Linked DNA regions of Neurospora crassa OR74A. The protein of the gene in region 1 interacts with the protein of each later gene in a biochemical or structural test. Links are inferred from orthologs where the notes say so. Each region holds a gene or a part of one and is shown on either strand. Other genes may lie near its edges.

Region 1 (8,634 bases):
CGCTGGTGATGTTGTGTGCAACAGGCAACGAAACAGTCCAACTAAGCAAGCTGCAAGTACGCTGAGGCGAAAGCTTGATTGCGGCAGGCCGCAGTGGCATACGGCCTCATGTGGGTCAATTCATGGAGGGGGTCCAGCCTGCGATGCGGGGGTTAAGTGAAGCTGATAAGCTTCTGGCGCCGCGGCAATCAGCCATCAAGGTTCTACCTTAGGTACTGTGCAGGCATCTACCTACCTATCTATAAACAAAACAACAAAAAGCACTTCGTAGGCCGTGGAGCTCTCGACATCGAAGCCCTGCCGGGCAATGTCATCTCCTGACTCGGTGTGCCAAACTTCATCATGAAGATGCACCAGCGGAGGAAGGGCCTTGTGAGTGACATGACCTGAGGACGGTAGCTGGAGGGCTGACCATAGGAAGAAGATACGAAAATAGGACTCTGTACCAGGTAGGTACCAGTAGTGTTGCAGCCAGGACAGCATCATCTCTCGCCATGCCTCATACAGCATTACAGCAAATCTCACAATCGTACATCATCAAAGAACCAACCGAGACGAATTTTCCAAAATCCAGATGTCCGTTTTTCAATTATCAATATCACGGTCGTTGCTGGGAAGCCTACGCCAGGTAGCCGTGTTATACCCACAGATATATCTCGTCCATCAAGATGCCCGTTTTTTCCCCCCTGATACCGTTCCACAGCCCTTCGCGCATTCAACCTTCTCCATGTGCATTCCAATCCAGTCTCCGTTCCGTACATACCTTTAGTCCTTCTCATCGCTTGCCAGGACTGCCTTGATCATCGCATTACCTACCTCCACCGCTCCCTTGAACCTCGGCTCGAAGAAAGCCTGGGTAACCGCAAACCGCTCCCTCCACGTCTCGAATTGCCTCAGACCCACACACTCGGCCCAGCCCGCCGCCGCAATGGTGAACTGCAAGTCATCCCTTCTGAAAGTCCGATCCTCGATGCCGACCTTCAGGCACTCATCCAGCAAGCCTGGGGTCCTGAACAAGTGCTCGGTGACGCCCAGCCAGAGTCGGAACAGGGGAGTCGAGCAGATCATGTGGTCGTACGGCACGATTCCCAGAGCGCTCCAGCAGTCGACCATGGCAAGCAGCGAGAGGTGGTTGTTGGGCAAGGAGGGAGCCGAAGGGCCGCCATTTTCCGGCTGGCGGAGGCTGAACTGGTCGAGCACATCGTCACGGAGGAGAGGTTTGCTCGCCCACTTGGGGCTTCCTTCGGCACCGAAGACTTTTTCCTTGGCGGCGTACACGCGGGCGCGAAGCTCGTCGCTATGACCCTCCAGCATAAGTTGGAACAGCTCGGTGGTGGACTTGGCGAACTGGGCAATCTGCTTGTGTGCTTCGGGGTTGAGGATGGCGAGGCCGGCGTAGACGTGCCACTTTTGGGCATAGATGCGGAGCATGAGGTTGATCTTGACGTTTTCGATGCCGCCGACATAACGGGTTCCCTCCCAGGGGAATTGCTTGGTTGCATGCCAGGCCTTGCCCATGCTGAGGAAAGCGGCGTGGGTGACGGCTTGGGTATCGGCCGTGATGCGGTCATGTTCATCGGCACTCAGGTAGACAACCTTGGAGTTAAGGCAGGAGAGTACGTGCTCAACCTTGGAGAAAGATTCGTCGGAGGCGCGATGCTTGATGAGCACCAGCGGCTGGCCCTTGGGATCGACATTGGGGCCGTGAAGGGAGTGGCAGGATACGATGTCAACGTCGGCGGGCAGGTACTTTTCGAAAGCCTTGATCTCAGGATCTTTACAGGACGTTTGGCCACCAACAATAGCGCCGAGCTTGGTCGCTAAAAACGAGGTACGCGGTTAAGGTCAAGTCTACGTGACGGGGAGAGAGGTCATGGCAACACACATGGACCGTACTGGGCGACGACACGATCGATGACCGCCGCCTCAACACTGTAGATGATATAATCGCTGGCGCGAGACACGAAATGACCGTTACGGAGAATTTGTATATTGTTCTAGAAAGCAAAATATGAAGACTCAGCACTGATTCTGCTGTAGAGAGATCGGGCTAAATGTGTGCGACCGTACATTCCCCTCGAACTCTTGTACCAGCTCATCATATTTCTCTTCTCTATCGCAGGCCATGATCCTGAAAGGGATCGTTAGCCAACCGATTCCTGATCATGCTGTAACACTAAGAACCTGTTGATATCTGGTCAGCGAAAGTCCCTTACAAATGCTGCAAGATATAAAGATGTGTGAAGATGTGTTTGTTTCAGACGAAAATTGTAAGGTAGCTGAGATTTTTCATCATGGAAAGCTCCCTACACAAACTGGGACCGGAACGGTTGACCAGCCGTGACAGGCGCGATACTCTAGCCAAATGCACTCAAGTCATCATATTAGGGGGTAATGGGGAATGAGAAGAACTGTTGCAACGTACCATTTGAACAACTGCGAAATGTTTGTTGAAGGTTAGTCGCGGTGGCAGGCTCCGCGAAGAGCCTGGGCGTGATTGACGACGATGAGACGAGCGAGGAAGAATTATTACCTCCAACCTGCGCTGCTAAGTCTCCGGGCATACATCTTGCCCATATCGCCCATCCCAATCAGACCGACAGTGAAGCCGGTCATATTGGGGGATTCCGATGTCGAAGCCATATTGACGCGTGTATTGTTTCTTTCCAGCAGGACCGGTCGATTGCGGCAACTATCACATCGTCACACAAGACCCTCGGCACCAAAGAAGCACTCGCTCGATGATCGCGCGAGAAGCAATGGGTGAGGCTGCGTTGCTGTTGCTGGCTTTGTGGTACGGAAAGGAAGAAATTTTCAATTCGGGAGGCCGCAAGGTGGGATTTTAAAAACGACTGGAAAATCCCGTCAGTGTGCTTCGCCCCACTTTGATTTGCACTGGAAAGCTCGGACCATCTTCCCGACACCGCAAATGGAGCCATGCCTCCGAACTTACAGCCTCCGAACCAAAACTCCACCAATGTCCCGGCCCGGCACCGGCTGTGCGCGGAGGCTGCAATGAATGCCGTCGTCATCCTTAGTTGCCACGATTAAAAGACGGGACATTTCCGGGAAAACATCGACTTATCATCATTCCGCCTCGCTCAGTCCATTAATCGAGAAGTTGCATCAGAATGCTGCTACTCTTCGCTCTTGGATCTAATGGCTCCGGCCAGCTAGGCATCGGCCACAAAGAAGACGTTTCCGTTCCAAAGGATGCCCATTTTGATGCAGACCTTCCGGCTACCGCCTCCATCACCAAGATTGTTGCTGGAGGTAACCACACAATTATTTTGACTACGACCGGCGACATCTACTGGAGCGGAGACCCGAATACCGGTGCCTGTGGCAAGTTCACTCAAACACAAATTTCGCAGCCTCCTCGATTTCACCCGGTCGACATTTCATCTGTATCAACACCCCAAGACCCATTCAGGGTAGGTATGGTTGCAGCTGCCTGGGAAGCAAGCATCTTTACCCGCCTGGATGCCCAAGGTCGCAACACCAGAGTCTACTCTTGCGGCACCGGCCTGAAAGGCGAGTTGGGCTTGGGCACGTTCATCTTCCGTACGGCGACTCCGTCTCTGATTCCAGATTTTCCTCCCCCGGACACGGAAGTTGTCGATCTCGCCGCTTGTATGGGCCATGTCGTTGCAGTTTTAAGCAATGGTGACGTTTGGGGTTGGGGTAATGGCCGGAAGGGTCAGATCGGAGCGCCGGAGGATATTGTTCACTCACCCCGCAAAATCGAGGGTTTGGGCTTCAAGGTTGTGAAAGCGGTCTGTGGAAAGGAATTCACATGCTTTCTGGGAAGCCCTGAAAGCGGTAACATCATGGTCCTTGGTTCAGACAAATGGGGGATCAGGGGTGAAGTTCCGGACCAGGTTGTCGGATGGCGAGAGGTCGGTGCTAGTTGGGGCAACCTGTTCATCTTGAAGGGAGATGGAAGCTTATTGAGCTGGGGCCGTAATGACCATGGTCAACTCGCTCCCGCGAACCTACCCCAAACCAAACATATTGCGGTGGGGAGCGAACATGCACTGGCCTTGAGCGAGGAGGGCGACGTTACAGCCTGGGGCTGGGGTGAACACGGCAACTGCGGACCGCTCAGTAGTTCGGATGTCACAAAGGGTCAGCAGAACGTTATTGCGTCGTCGAAGTTCATTCCTTCGGGCGCTAAAATAACCACCATCGGGGCCGGCTGTGCCACCAGTTGGGTGGCAATACAGATGCCGTCAACTTAGAGCCTTGGGAACAGTCAAAGATATGCCGAGGATGACTGCTAAGTCGTATGTTACAGTACATGAACTAAACCACCCCTTTAAGCACTGCTCGGTTTACTTGGTCAAGAGGAAAATAAACCAAAGCGCCGAACCTGATTGCCAGTTAGCAAAAGAATAGACATAGGAGACAACAAGATACATGCCTCAGAAAGCTGCTGGGTTGGCTCGAGTCCCCCAGCAAGTCTGTCTGGCTCATTACCGGGCACAGCCGGTCTTGCCAGTAAACTGCTAATTCGCAAGGACGGCGGGTTCTGGAGTGGATGTTAGCCATCTTTTTTCTGGCGACTAGAGGGAAATGACGTAGAAGTACCGGCTCGCCCGTTGCATTCCACTCGACTCTAGCGTTGTCCATCTCCTCTTCATCCTCACGATCCACGGGATCCCATTGCCGGTCCTCGTCGCCTTGCTCAACGAATAACGGCGAATCAGATCGATCAGTCCTGGCGGCCACCGGGCTTCGAGGCGGTATGGGTGGTGGTCGAATTTCAAATTGTGTCTGTCGTGGTTGTGGAGGTGTCTTTTGTTGAGGAGGCTTCTGCGCTGGTTTTGGAACGTCTTTGGCCTCATTGTTTGCAACAGAGCCGTCGGGCTTAGACGCAGGACCCGGTCCCGGACCCGAACCCGGTTTTGGGGTCTTTGAAGCCCTCGCCCTGGTATTTTTGTGCTTCTGAGTGATGGCATCCTGTTCTCCAACCGTCATGAGGATGAACTCGCACAGGATACCGTCCGCACTATAAGATAACTTCATCGGGCGTCCGGGCTCCGAGTAGTAGGTTGCGAGCTCTCCGCTGATTATTTGAGCGTGTTGCAGAATGGCTCGGAAATCCTTGACACTAATGATGATGTGAAGTTTGTCTTGGACTTCAACCTCATTAAACTCGGCCATTTCTACAGAAATGTTGGTGTGAAGCGGCTTCTTGAGGACAGCTTTTCACGCCATTGTCAGCATCATCCTCCAACTTGGCTTGAAGGGAGGTCTTACGAACCTTCATTGCCATGAGGGCCGCGTTTCTGCACCTTGTCCGTGAAGCAGGTAAAGTTCACAACATGATCATCGTCATCCGTGTTGATATCAAGCAATTCAATACCCGGACCGAAATGATCCATGAGTTGTCGCAGTGTGCTAGATGAGATCGACCAACGATTCCCAGCCTCGTCCTTCTCAAACTTGGCATGAGTTGGTGGCTTTGATTCGAACGGTAGAGAATGAGACGCGGTGATTCCTGTAACGTTGTGAGCTTTGTAGGTATCATGACTATGATCGGAGCGTTATGTACCGTTCCTGCAAGAGATTCTGGCAATCAACCGGCTCTTCTTGCCAGGGCCATCGTCAATGGCAACATCACAGCGCTCGATGGAAGCATCTTTATCCCGTGCAGAATCACCACCTTGGCGAGACCGAAAGATGGACAAGAGGGACTGAGAGAAATTGTTGGTAAATACCCAGGGGACATAGGTCTAGGAGCGACCACTCACCCGGATATAGAGTTGGCAGAAGAATCTATCTCGATACTGGGCATTCCCCTCGAAATGGTAACGGGAGAAGAACCTGTTAGCGGCAAAAGTGAAGCAAACGTATGCTGACTTTGAGATGTTGAGAGTAGTCAAGGTAAGCTAAGAGACAGATAAATTAGCACCTGTATCACAATCTCAAGAAGGGAAGATTTGTTGGTGAGCCCTATATGTACGTACCTTGTCCCTTCTTGCTTCCAAGCAAACATCATCACTGAACTTGTACATGCAGGCGAGGGCGTCGTGGAAAACAGACACGCCCTCCTCGCTGAGCGTGAAGTTCAAGATTACCATTTTGTGGCCGTCGTCGCAATTAGTCGATCGACTTATATTCTTTTGGTCAGGAAGAGCTTTCTCGGGTCTAAGTCTGGCCACTCAGTTTCTCGCATCCAGTCAGCGATTTCTGTTGTGATGGCCCCCTGCAGTGGCCTGGAGTATGATGGAAAATAAATCGAGGCCGAGTGCAGTTGCCTTGGAGTGCTCTTGCGTGACACAAAACGCTGTACCTATCAAGAGCAAGTGAACAATGGATGGAAGGTGCAACTGTGATGGTTGCGCGGCTGCTCCCACTCGCAAGAGACCGCGTCGAAGCACAGCATTTGGGGCGGTAAATTTCAGTGCCTAGCACCCTAGCCTAGCTCTAGGGCCCTCTAAAATAGGTACACACAGGGACCGATCGACGCTCCCGTCACCTTGCCGGACTTCCGTCGTTCATGAGCGACATACCTACCTGTAGGTACCTAGGTCGAGGTACCTCTACTAGGTACCAGTAGCCCGGTCTTTCAGGTCAATTTCCCCCCCCACTTGCGCCTAGTTGCGGCATGAACTAGGTCCCGTCGAGCTCACAAAAAGGAAAAAGCTCCCATGCCCGGACTATTGTTGGTACGTGCGGGAGTTCCTCAGTAATATTCAAGTGTACACCTTTTCTTCTGTTGAATTCCCGTTTGGTATGGGACAAGTGATTTGATACTGTGGAAGCAGCAATAGGTACCTCTAGCTCAACCTCATTGGCTCGGCTACCTATCGTAGTCAATGTGGAGGCTGTTGGATATCCGAGTCCTCAACTGACACACGACAACAAACGCAATTCCGAAAACACCCTGTTTATAAGAAGTCGTGAAGCAAATCACACTGCATTTATGAATTCCACCAGTGAGCGCGCTCTGATGCCTTGAGTATGCACGCACATGTGACAAGGGGGCTCGTGTACCCTAGAGGTAGGTATTGATTTACGAGTACAAGAAATCGCCCTTCTGTGGTTTTCGGAATTTATCTCCAGTCCTCTCTCTGTCCAAACAGCCCAGATCGCTCTGACAATTCGCAAACGACTGTTTCATCTTCTGCTTTTCCCTCCCAAACAATAATCTACTGCTTAGTGTAGACCCTTTACTGAATTTCACAGTGAGGCTCGGCAGAAACTGTCCGTTGTGGCAACTGAAGTTCCGTCCACACAAGTGCATCACAGCAACCCATTTGCCAGGAGAATCACTGCACACCCAGCAACCAACTTGTCCATAAGCATCACCATTGACGCGGGCATTGTCACGGAATATTCTTGGATTTCCGCTTCGCAGCCGCTCCTCCACAACCAGCATAGGCCGTCGAGACTTTTCAAGACTTTAGCCAGGCACGCTGGTAGATTCCTTTTGCTTGTCGAGAGGAACCCATACTTCCACGGTTCTTTTGAGTTGCACGCTAAGGTTCGTGGTGCTTTCTCGCCCCTCCCTTCCATCACAGTACCTGTACCTATTCCCTTAACTGCTCCTTCAGCCCCCTTCAAACGTACAATGTTTTCTGACTTTTGCCCAGACAAAGTTAAACAGAACCGTTCACTTCCGCCGTGCCGTGGGCAGCTATACCGCATTTCGCATTCCCACGTCCACTTTATTGGTTGTTTCGTCCTGGCCTCAACAGTTGCCATGACCTTCCCGGGCTTTCCCACAGAAATTTGGTGGCTTATTGTTGACCAGGCTGCCAGTATAAAAGACCTATCAACAATGTTTCTCATTGCTCGTCTCAATCGTACCATGGCATGCTTTGCCTTGCCGCTAATGTACGGCATCGTCAAAGGGTTAATGTATGACGACGCGGACAGGCAGTCGGTCTGCTTCTGGAGATCTATCATTGTGTCCAGCCTGGGGAAGACCTTATATCCGTACTGCTGTTGGGTTAAGACACTTGACTTCTCCGATCTCCTCAACTTCCTCCAAAATTTCGATAAATCAGAGGATGCCCAACTGCGTTACAAATTTTACAGCCCGCCACTTCGCTACCTACAACTACTCCAAATTAATATATCCAACCCAGACCATCCATTCGACCAAGACAATTTCGATGGCAACGTAGGTCCACATGTGCTATTCTGTGAAGTCGTCAACAAGATCACAGAAGGTATCAGGGCTACCGCCGACCAGGGGCACGTCACTTCCCATTTAACTAAAGTTCGGTTTCCGAACCTAGAATATCTGCCCTGTATATTATATTTTCCTGTGTGGATTTCAAGGCTCACTGGATTGACAACGCTTCATATCCATGACATATCTTTACTGAACGAACAGGTGACTCTGGCTATTGCTGAGAACTGCTCTGCCCTCAAACATTTGTGAGCATTCTTCAGTTCCCCACCTATAACCGCATGCCACCCTTCGCGGAGGCATTCGCAGCCGTTCTACTCAAAACTGAGAGCCTAGCCTCTCAATCAACGTGCTTGTCAAGAATCTGAACCACCGCGCGTCTATAACCTAGTTGCTGACCTGATGAACGTGGTAGCAAATGTTATATCATACCATCTTATGAAGCTGAAAGACATCTCAGCAGTTTGCTGCAAACGCTTCCTCCTAAC
Region 2 (8,483 bases), on another chromosome or scaffold:
AGCGACAGGACATCGGAAAAAACAAAGTTGAAGTCGACATGCCTGATGGTTGACACAAGAAAACGATACGTACCTTGACAGCTCGGGCCAGGTGGACGAGACAGCTGGCCAAGGGAGAGTTATGCCGCTTTAGGTTAGACTTTGGACCAAGATGATCGCAGGGACCACCAGCCACTTCACACCGGCGATGTGAGCGCTGTGCTTCTTCCTTGGCGTGGCCTAGAATCGACTTTGGGTTCTTCGCTGCAACGAGACGATGCGACACAAAGACAAAAAAAGGTAACCAGACCGCAATCCCGGTGCCACGCCGTTCGACAGGGACTCTACCTAACTTATATTACGACCTCCCCTCTCTTATACATGTATATCATCACATGTAACACATCTTCCCCCGGGTGGCTTTTGCACTTTTAGTTTGTAGACCATGCCCATTCACGATCCGTGAAACATTCCATTTCCTATCGTCATCTTCACTTTTTCCATCCCGAGCTTCCATATACCCTTCGCGCTTGTCTGCTAAAAAGACCACGACTTGCACAAGGAACTCACTTCATCATACTTTCAATCCCCACCAATAACGGACAATGAGCTTACCCAAGCCATAGTCCAAATACTTTGGTTCCGCCGCGACAATCCTTTACAATTTTTGTGAGCATCTTGTCCTGGAAAGCAGCTAGCCATGACCAGCTCAGGGCATGGTGTTCCCGCCAGGAACGGTGAACATGGCGTATCCGTCATCTCAGCCTCTTCACACCAACGGATAGTTCACATACCGAACATTCTTCCTCACGAACGAGTGTTTCCCATTCAGATAGGTACTGAGTTGTTCAAGCTGTCCGGCGCCTCACTTTCCTCCGATGGTTGGTCACTTCATCCCTTTCCTACCTAGGTACACTTCATAAATGACTAACACATCCACAGCCCCCTCCTACTTCTCGCAGTACTTCCTCTGCCAACTCAAGCAAGCCTCCGACGCCGGCCAAGACCCCTCCACCGCCATCCGCACCCTCTACATCGACCGCGACCCCGTCACCTTCAAAGACATCTCTCTGCACCTTCAGGGCTACCACGTCCGGCCCCGGGACGCCACTCACCTTGTCCGCCTCTTCGCCGATGCCCAGTTCTACTCCCTTCCCAAGCTCATGTCCCAGCTCTACGAGGAACCCATTCACATCACCATCGGCTCCACACCCTTCCAGATCCCGCGCGAAATCTTCTCCCTTTCTGGACCCGGGAACACGCCCAACTTTTTTACGCTCGGGTTTGCCATGTTTTTCAGCAATCCCGAGGATTTGTTTCCCGGTTTGGACAAGGAGGGACTGATTCGTCCGCCGTCCATCGTCGCGCCTAATGTACCGAATCGCAGTGCCGAGGTCTTTCAGGAACTACTGCATATGCTGAGAGGGTACCCGGTGAAGATCCGGGATGAGAGGCATCGGCAGGAGCTTCTGAAGGACTGCAGGTGGTACAACTTCAAGGGCCTGGAGCAGCGGTTGATCCCGCATGAAAAGGGGTTCAATCAGGTCAGGGGACGGGAAGAGATTGTGCTGGGGTTGAGAGATATTATGAAGAGCGGGATAAGCGTGGCTAATGAGCCGGTGGAGGGAGATCCGTTGGCGGCGTGGGTGAATTATGCCAGGCCGTATGCGGACGACAAAGCAATGGAACTCGTACTTGAAATCGGCGAAGAAGCCACGCAGTTACACATTGGACCGGGGGGGAAGGAAGAAGTCAGAGCGGAGTTCTTCACGGACATCAAGGCGAAAATGGCCAAGTTATTCGAGGTCATCGCTACCAAGCTCAACTTGCCCCCCTTCACTCAGCCCTCGGGGCTATTGATGGCCAAAGGAGGGAGGGGTAGCGAACCGTCCACGTCAAGAGACGCTCTTCTCAGCGAAGATCTCGTCCGCGTCATCCTCGACCCCGAAGCAAGCATAACATTAGACGGCCAACCCTGGACAGCAGACGAGTCCGATCAGACTGCCCATCCATCATTACCCGCAAATGGAACCACAAACAACACCCCCGGCACTACCATTCCATCTGCCTCCTCGTCCTCCGGCGGCCCCTCAACAGCTGAAACCCCCGATTCCATCAACCCCAGCACCAAACCCTCCCCCTTCCAACAATCATCATCACCCGACGAAAACCCCAACCCTCGAAAACGCCGACGCCTAGACTCCAGTCCGCCCTACGGAGTGACCAGCGTTTCGACCTCATCACCACTAGGCGGCGAGCAATGGATCGTCAAAACCGGCCAGTGGCGGCTGCGTATTCAGTCAAGTCCCAACCCCAACCCGGCTAAGGCGTCGGTGGTGGAATGTTGTTTGGTGGCGGTTAAGCTTGATGCGCTGAGCAGCGAGAGGAAGAGGAATGAGAGGAGGGGGTTTTTGGGTGGTTAGGTACCTGACATTGACATGAGGGTGAGGCCCTGGGGGTACTGATGGGATGGAAACGGTTGATGGGGTGAGAGAGAATGGAGGGATGACGTGGAGGAGCAATGGGGAAGAGTTAACTGGATGGGGTTATATCGATCACATCAGATTATGAGCATACCTTATTCTACATTAATACGAGATGGAAAGTTGGAAAGAGGATAGTCAATGCAAGATTCTCGTGGCAGGTGTTGAATGCTCATTTTTCTTTAGGACTGTCATTGTAGTTTCCTACTTGGTAAAGAGCTTCAAGCAATAACTCCCAGATCACCAATTCCAAAGCAGATATCCCAACCCCAACGCCTATATAAGTAATATACACAAGATTCCAAAGCGTTGATAAAGTCCTATCACTTCCATCGCACGTTTCCGATCATGAGACACGTCCATCTAGTGCGCGATTTGAAGCCATCCGAGCACCTATCTAAATCAAGCCCCTGCCTTCGCACTCCGCCCCGCCATTCTTTCGATCTATTTGATATCCCATCCTAGCCAAGAAGCACGCCCAAAATCAACCGCTGCAACGTAGAAAACGCCTGTCCCAATGTTGATTGTGATGCCCAACACCCAACGCCCAAAGCACACGGTCGCAGACAAAAGCCAAGGGCAGCGAAAAGCCAGGCCCACCCATGAAGCATCCCCTTTGTTTTTGAATGCTTTCACCCAGCTGCTGGCAAATCCGACCGACGAATCCTTGGATGTAAACGGCACCAGGGGCCTGGAAGGTCATGGTCGCTCTGCTTGCTTTGTTCCCGGCGGCCGGGCAGCGACGCTGTTATTTTCTGGACGAGGTCGATCTGATCTCGGATCAAATCAAATCGAGTTGGTTCTGGTTATCATTATCGCCGGTTGAGGGTCATTCGCATCGGCGGGGGACAGCAGAGGATCTGTCGACTGGTACATTGGCTCGGTCGGCTTGTTTAACTGGCTGGCTGTGCCAGCGGGGCGTGATCTCGATGCAAACCAGGGCGAGGACGGCTGGTATGAACTGGACTGGGCTCGAGAAAGCAATCGGCTTGCTTCTGCTGTATCATTGTGGCTTTGGTTGCAAGTTGATGTCGGAAAGGCTGGTGTTATCCTAACCTTCAACCTCGGTGTACGGAATCATGAGCGCCTCGTTGCGAGCCACTTCTATATTCCGCGCCTCTTAGATTTTTCATTCGACTTCGTAGTCCCCCATTAAGCGGAAACAGCAATAGACGCCGCGGCATCCGGTGCCTTGGGGAGGTTATCCTGTTTAGGTAATCATCCGTTGGTTAGCAACACTGCTGCATTCCACCCAAAACTCTTCTCGCCTCCATGTCCTGGTCCCTCCCCCCACACACAGAAAATGGCAATACTCACAACTTCAAAAATGACCCTGACCATCAAGCTACAGCTCGGGCAAACGGCAATGTCCTGACCGTCCTGGAGGTCGGCGAGCGCAATCTCGAACTTGTCGCCGCATGGGCAGGGGTACGAATACGTCTGCAGCGCTGGGTCGTAGGTCATGTCTTCGATTTCGACTTCGTCGTAGATGGAGTATTCTTCGTCGGACATTTTGGTTATTTCGATTGAAACTTCGCGGCTTGTGGGATCTGTTCGGGTTGCAAATGTCGCGAGCTGGGCTAGATAGTATCGTTTGGATGGTGGAGCGAAAAAGTTGGGAGTGTTGGTTGGATTGGAGGCTGATGATATGATATGTTGGAAAGTTGAAGGAACGGACAGGGAAAAAAAAAGAGTCAGCGCGGCGAGCGGGACAGTGGAGGGGCAAAATGTCAGATGTGACGGGAACTGCAGTGAACTTTTGGCGCGTGCGGCGCGCGGATGGAAGTGTGGGGGTGGGCAGAGTATCTTACCGTGTAGTACGCCAAGATTGGGCAATGCGTGTAGGTCAAAGCTGTGTAACTTACCAAGACCTCGTATTGCTTCGTCACTACAGCGAATCTTCCTCAATCGCTGTAGTCATGCTACGCAAAAGACATGCCATGAGACCAAGCGCAGAATCCATTTATATAATGGCAAAAGAGAACCAAGCTATCCCCAAGGCTCGAAAAACTTTTCTGAGATTGCATATCACCGAAGAGCATGAAGATGAGCATGTTGTCACTGGCTGCAGGGCTCTCATCTTTTACTTATAAAGCCTAGGTATGAACCTTACTTTCAACAAGGCCCTATGGCGCAACGGTAGCGCGTTCGACTCCAGATCGAAAGGTTATCCGTTCAAATCGGGTTGGGGTCATCCACAATATCTTTTTGGCTTTTTGCTATTCATGCATCTGCGACCAGCAACCATCTCGTGTTTCTTTTTGCGTTTTGCGTGTTGAAGTGGTGGTCAATCTCCTGACATCATTTCCCTTTCTTTTCTTTGGTCGAAAGAAGTAGAGTATTTTTTTCGAACGAGTTGAGACGCTTGGAGGTCATATTCACCGAAAGATTAAGTAGGAAAAGAAACTCATTATCAACTCTTTTCTGTATGTACCAGATACGCCTCCTCATGCTTCTCTGCCTCCTTCTGGCCATCATCACATAACATTCACCTCAAGAACTGCATCTTCAAGAACCTCGCGTCCTTTCGCCCACTCGTACCGCTACCCACACTTCCTCTTTGATTTGTTCTCACGAAACCCCAACTATCTGGACTTCCATCCTCAGATCCACCTCCCAATACTGTTGTTGATGCTGTTGTGCCTCCATTTCTCCTCCTCTCTCACCAGGAACTTATCCCCAATCCCCTAACATCATTACCCTGAATTCAAGCTCTGCCGCACGTCTCCCCTTGTCAAATCATCCCTTCGATCTTAACTCGATGCTTCACTCTTCAGTCTCCGCGAATCTCCTCACCCAAACCTCCCCAAATAACGAAAATGAAACCAGCACCAAAGTCCCTTCGTGTGTGCTCAACAACCAACATTAGCGGACTCAACAACATCATGATTTGGATAACCACTACCACCGAACTATACCATACCGTCCTTCTATTCCCAACTCTTCATCATCAGAAAATAGACACCACGCATTCCACAGCATTACATCCCAGCCAATACCTCGCTCACTCGTTTACTTTCCCATCTCAAACAAACAACCAAACACCCCCAACCATCAACATCGAAACCGAAACCCAGACAACTCAACCCAGCCCCGAGACATCACAAACATTTTAACCCAAAAGACTAGGAAACCTCTTCTCACAACAAAACCATCCCCACCGCCGCAAAAACACCCAACCCCACCGCCGGTCCCTGCAACGGCACCTTCCCAGCCGCAGCACTAGGCACCGAAGACGGGGACGCAGTAGAAGTCGAGGTGGAAGTGGACGTGGTGACGCCCGAAGAAGTGTAGCTGCTGGTGGTGCTAGAGGAGTAGACGGTGGTGGTTGTGGAGGAGGTGGAGGTGGAAGTGGTGGAAGAGGAGGGTGTGACTGTTGTGGTGGCTTGTTTTGTATTGATGTTAGTAGGATGAAAAAGAGAGAGAGTGGTAGATGAAAGGCAGAAAGAGAGTGGTTCAAAAGAGGAAAAAAAAGGAGAAAAGGGGAGAGAAGGGGTGGTTAGGTAGGGATAACTAAAATCCCAGAGGGGGAAGCGACGCAACAGGAGGGTCGTCAGGAAGAGGAGGGGGATCCTCGTAGGTCTGCTCGTTCTCATCCTCATTCCCAGGCACAAACCCCGCAGAATCAGGATCAGGAGACAGCGAGTTAACAGGAACAGGACGAGGAGTCTGAATGGGAATAGGCGCTTTCGGGGGAGGAAACGGAGGAAAAGTGACCGGGAGAAGAGGAGAAGGAGGTTGATGGGGATGACACGGTCCGACATCACGCGCAACCCGATCCAGCCTGTCCGTCCGACCCCGACACCCCTTGGCAGCAGGCGCAGGTGGAATAACACCACCACCACCTGTAACACGAGGGAGAGCCGGGAATTGGATCATGCAAGCGGCTAGACAAGACTGGAGGCGCTCGTTTTGACGAGGAGGTGCTGTGACAAAAACACCAAACAGTTGGAAAAGGCAGTGAGAACGGACGGACGGGACACCCAAGAAGAAAGACTTACTCAAAGAAGTTGAGGTCGGCGTGCTCACGTAAATACTGGTAATGGTGGTTTGAGCAGCAGCGAGGCTGGCAGTGCCGAGGACAGCGAGGAGAGTGGAGGAACGCATCTTGCTTAGATGACTTGAGGACCGGTCGGTGGCTGGCTTGTTTTGGCTTTGGTAGAGTTCGTTCTTTTGATAGCGAATGAGTTGATCCTCTCTTCGTTCGAATTTTGTCTTGCTTTAGCTTTGAGGGAAAACGAGAGCAGAAAAGGATGATGAGGCGTTGAGAGGTAGGCAAGATGACGGAGGAAACGAGGGGAAGGAGACGGCTATTAAAGGTTAGGTGAGGGGAGGCTGGAGATGAGGTGATCAGATACCAAGACGCGGAAGATGTCTGGATGATGAAAGAGGAAGCTTGCACTGCCTACCAGGGACGATTACAAGAGAGCTGAGTCCAAGTTCCAGGAAGGCTGTGGGCAAGTCCAACGCCGGATGAACACTCGGCTTCACTTCAGGAGTGAGGTCATCATGGCTGACATTGGAGCTTCGTATCCCCTTCAAGGAGTCGAGTACACCATGATGCTGACACAACTACGCAATCAACAGGGATGACCTGTTCCTCCGAGCCTGGACTCCTCAACTCATTCTGCCTTCGGAGCGGGGAGATGGTTTCCGAAGTATGCTGATGTTCTCGTAACTGGCAAGCCTCGCAATAGCGCCAACCTCTTCACGTGCTCCCCGAAGCTGATTACTTGGATGGCTGCTGAGTACTATAGTTACGAGCAGCCGAACATCCTGTGTGCAAGGGCAGTGAGGTCCGACCGCCGGTGCTCGAGCCTCCGGGCCAACTCTCCGGAACTCAAGCAGGCGAGCGAGTTCCAAGCCAGGCAGAACAACGAGCTCCGAACTAACATACCTGGGCTCGCCAGGGAAAGAAATGTGCTTGGTTGTCCATGAAGCGGCTCTGGCTCTTCCTTGCCCACGGGGTCAAGACGATACAGTCGATGCTTTGAGGCCTCCAAGTGTAAGTAATGCAACCAGCTCAACACCAGGCCAACCATCGCCACATAGCCGTGTCCTTTGAACATGAGAGCTTTGACACAAACATCCGTCACCTAGATGAACACAAATCTATTCATCGCTAAAACTTTTAGCCATCCATGATATCAAACCCAAACAAATGACATTCATCAGAAAACCATCACTGCCCACCACATAGATTTCCCATCTTACCACGCATCACACCTTTAAACATTGGTAAAGAAAAAGCTGGGCTGACCAGGAAGAGCAGCCTCAGCCATTGGCGCCGTGACCTCGATCTCAGCACCACCATTCGTCAAGTCCTTGCCCGTCTTGCTGCCCTCCTCAACAAGGACAACCTGCACGCTCTCCAAGCCAGCAGTCCTCTTCAGACCGGGGATCATGGCCAACAGCGTCGCCTTCTCATCGAAGGACAGCTTGCGGCTAAGAATCTGCTCAGCGGGCTCGCCATCCTTCAACCTCTTCTTGAGCGCCTGAACGAAGGGCATGGCCTTCTTCATCTCTCCCATCTTGGCGATGCGGCCGTTCAGCTCCTTATCGTCGATCTTCTGAGTGCCGGTAGCAGCGTCCCAGACCTCAGAGAGCAGGTCGATGTACTTGGCCTGCCAGGTAGGGAAGTTCTCGGTGGCGAAGATGGTAAGCTTCTTGGGCTTTTTGGGGTCGAAGTCGGACTGGCGACCCTTGGCCATCTTCTTAAGCTGGGCGGCCTCGGCGGAGTTGATGGCGGAGGAGGTGGTGCGGACGTAGTCGCGAGCGGCAGTGAGGGCGGGGTTGGCGGCGGGGACCTCGGGCCAGCGGGCGAACTGGATGGACTTGGGCTCGCCAAGGCATTCTTGCCAGACGTAGTCGGCCCAGTGAGGGGCAATGGGGGTGATGACGAGGGCCTGGAAGACGAGTTAGTACCGAAGGCGAAAATGTTGACGAGGCAAGGAAAGAAAAAGCGTACCTGAAGACGGATGTACTTGGTGACCAAGTCCTTGTGCAGAGGAATGCCGGCAG

The links.
Region 2: the proteins of NCU00469 (region 1) and NCU09465 are reported together in a solved structure, tested with the Saccharomyces cerevisiae proteins (2 studies listed by BioGRID, with this or other methods). The link is inferred for Neurospora crassa OR74A from reciprocal best matches to the Saccharomyces cerevisiae genes ATS1 and KTI11.

The regions. Positions count from the first base shown.
Region 1 is NC_026503.1:3,966,164-3,974,797, forward strand, and holds NCU00469 (alpha-tubulin suppressor protein Aats1), read left to right. Parts: upstream 1-2,964; 5' UTR 2,965-3,131; coding exon 3,132-4,241; 3' UTR 4,242-4,342; coding exon of another isoform or gene 4,343-4,372; 3' UTR 4,373-4,383; downstream 4,384-8,634. Other genes in the region: NCU00468 (prephenate dehydrogenase), read right to left, coding at 766-1,820, 1,886-1,997, 2,071-2,131, 2,534-2,643; NCU00470 (DNA repair protein Rad9), read right to left, coding at 4,384-5,207, 5,267-5,503, 5,558-5,699, 5,757-5,894, 5,973-6,086; NCU00471 (hypothetical protein), read left to right, coding at 7,712-8,394, 8,562-8,634.
Region 2 is NC_026502.1:4,365,113-4,373,595, reverse strand, and holds NCU09465 (diphthamide biosynthesis protein 3), read right to left. Parts: upstream 4,151-8,483; 5' UTR 3,975-4,150; coding exon 3,780-3,974; intron 3,669-3,779; coding exon 3,615-3,668; 3' UTR 2,621-3,614; downstream 1-2,620. Other genes in the region: NCU09466 (hypothetical protein), read left to right, coding at 680-860, 922-2,402; NCU09464 (hypothetical protein), read right to left, coding at 5,976-6,388, 6,464-6,569; leu-6 (leucyl-tRNA synthetase), read right to left, coding at 7,691-8,368, 8,431-8,483. UniProt on the Saccharomyces cerevisiae protein: Required for the first step of diphthamide biosynthesis, a post-translational modification of histidine which occurs in elongation factor 2.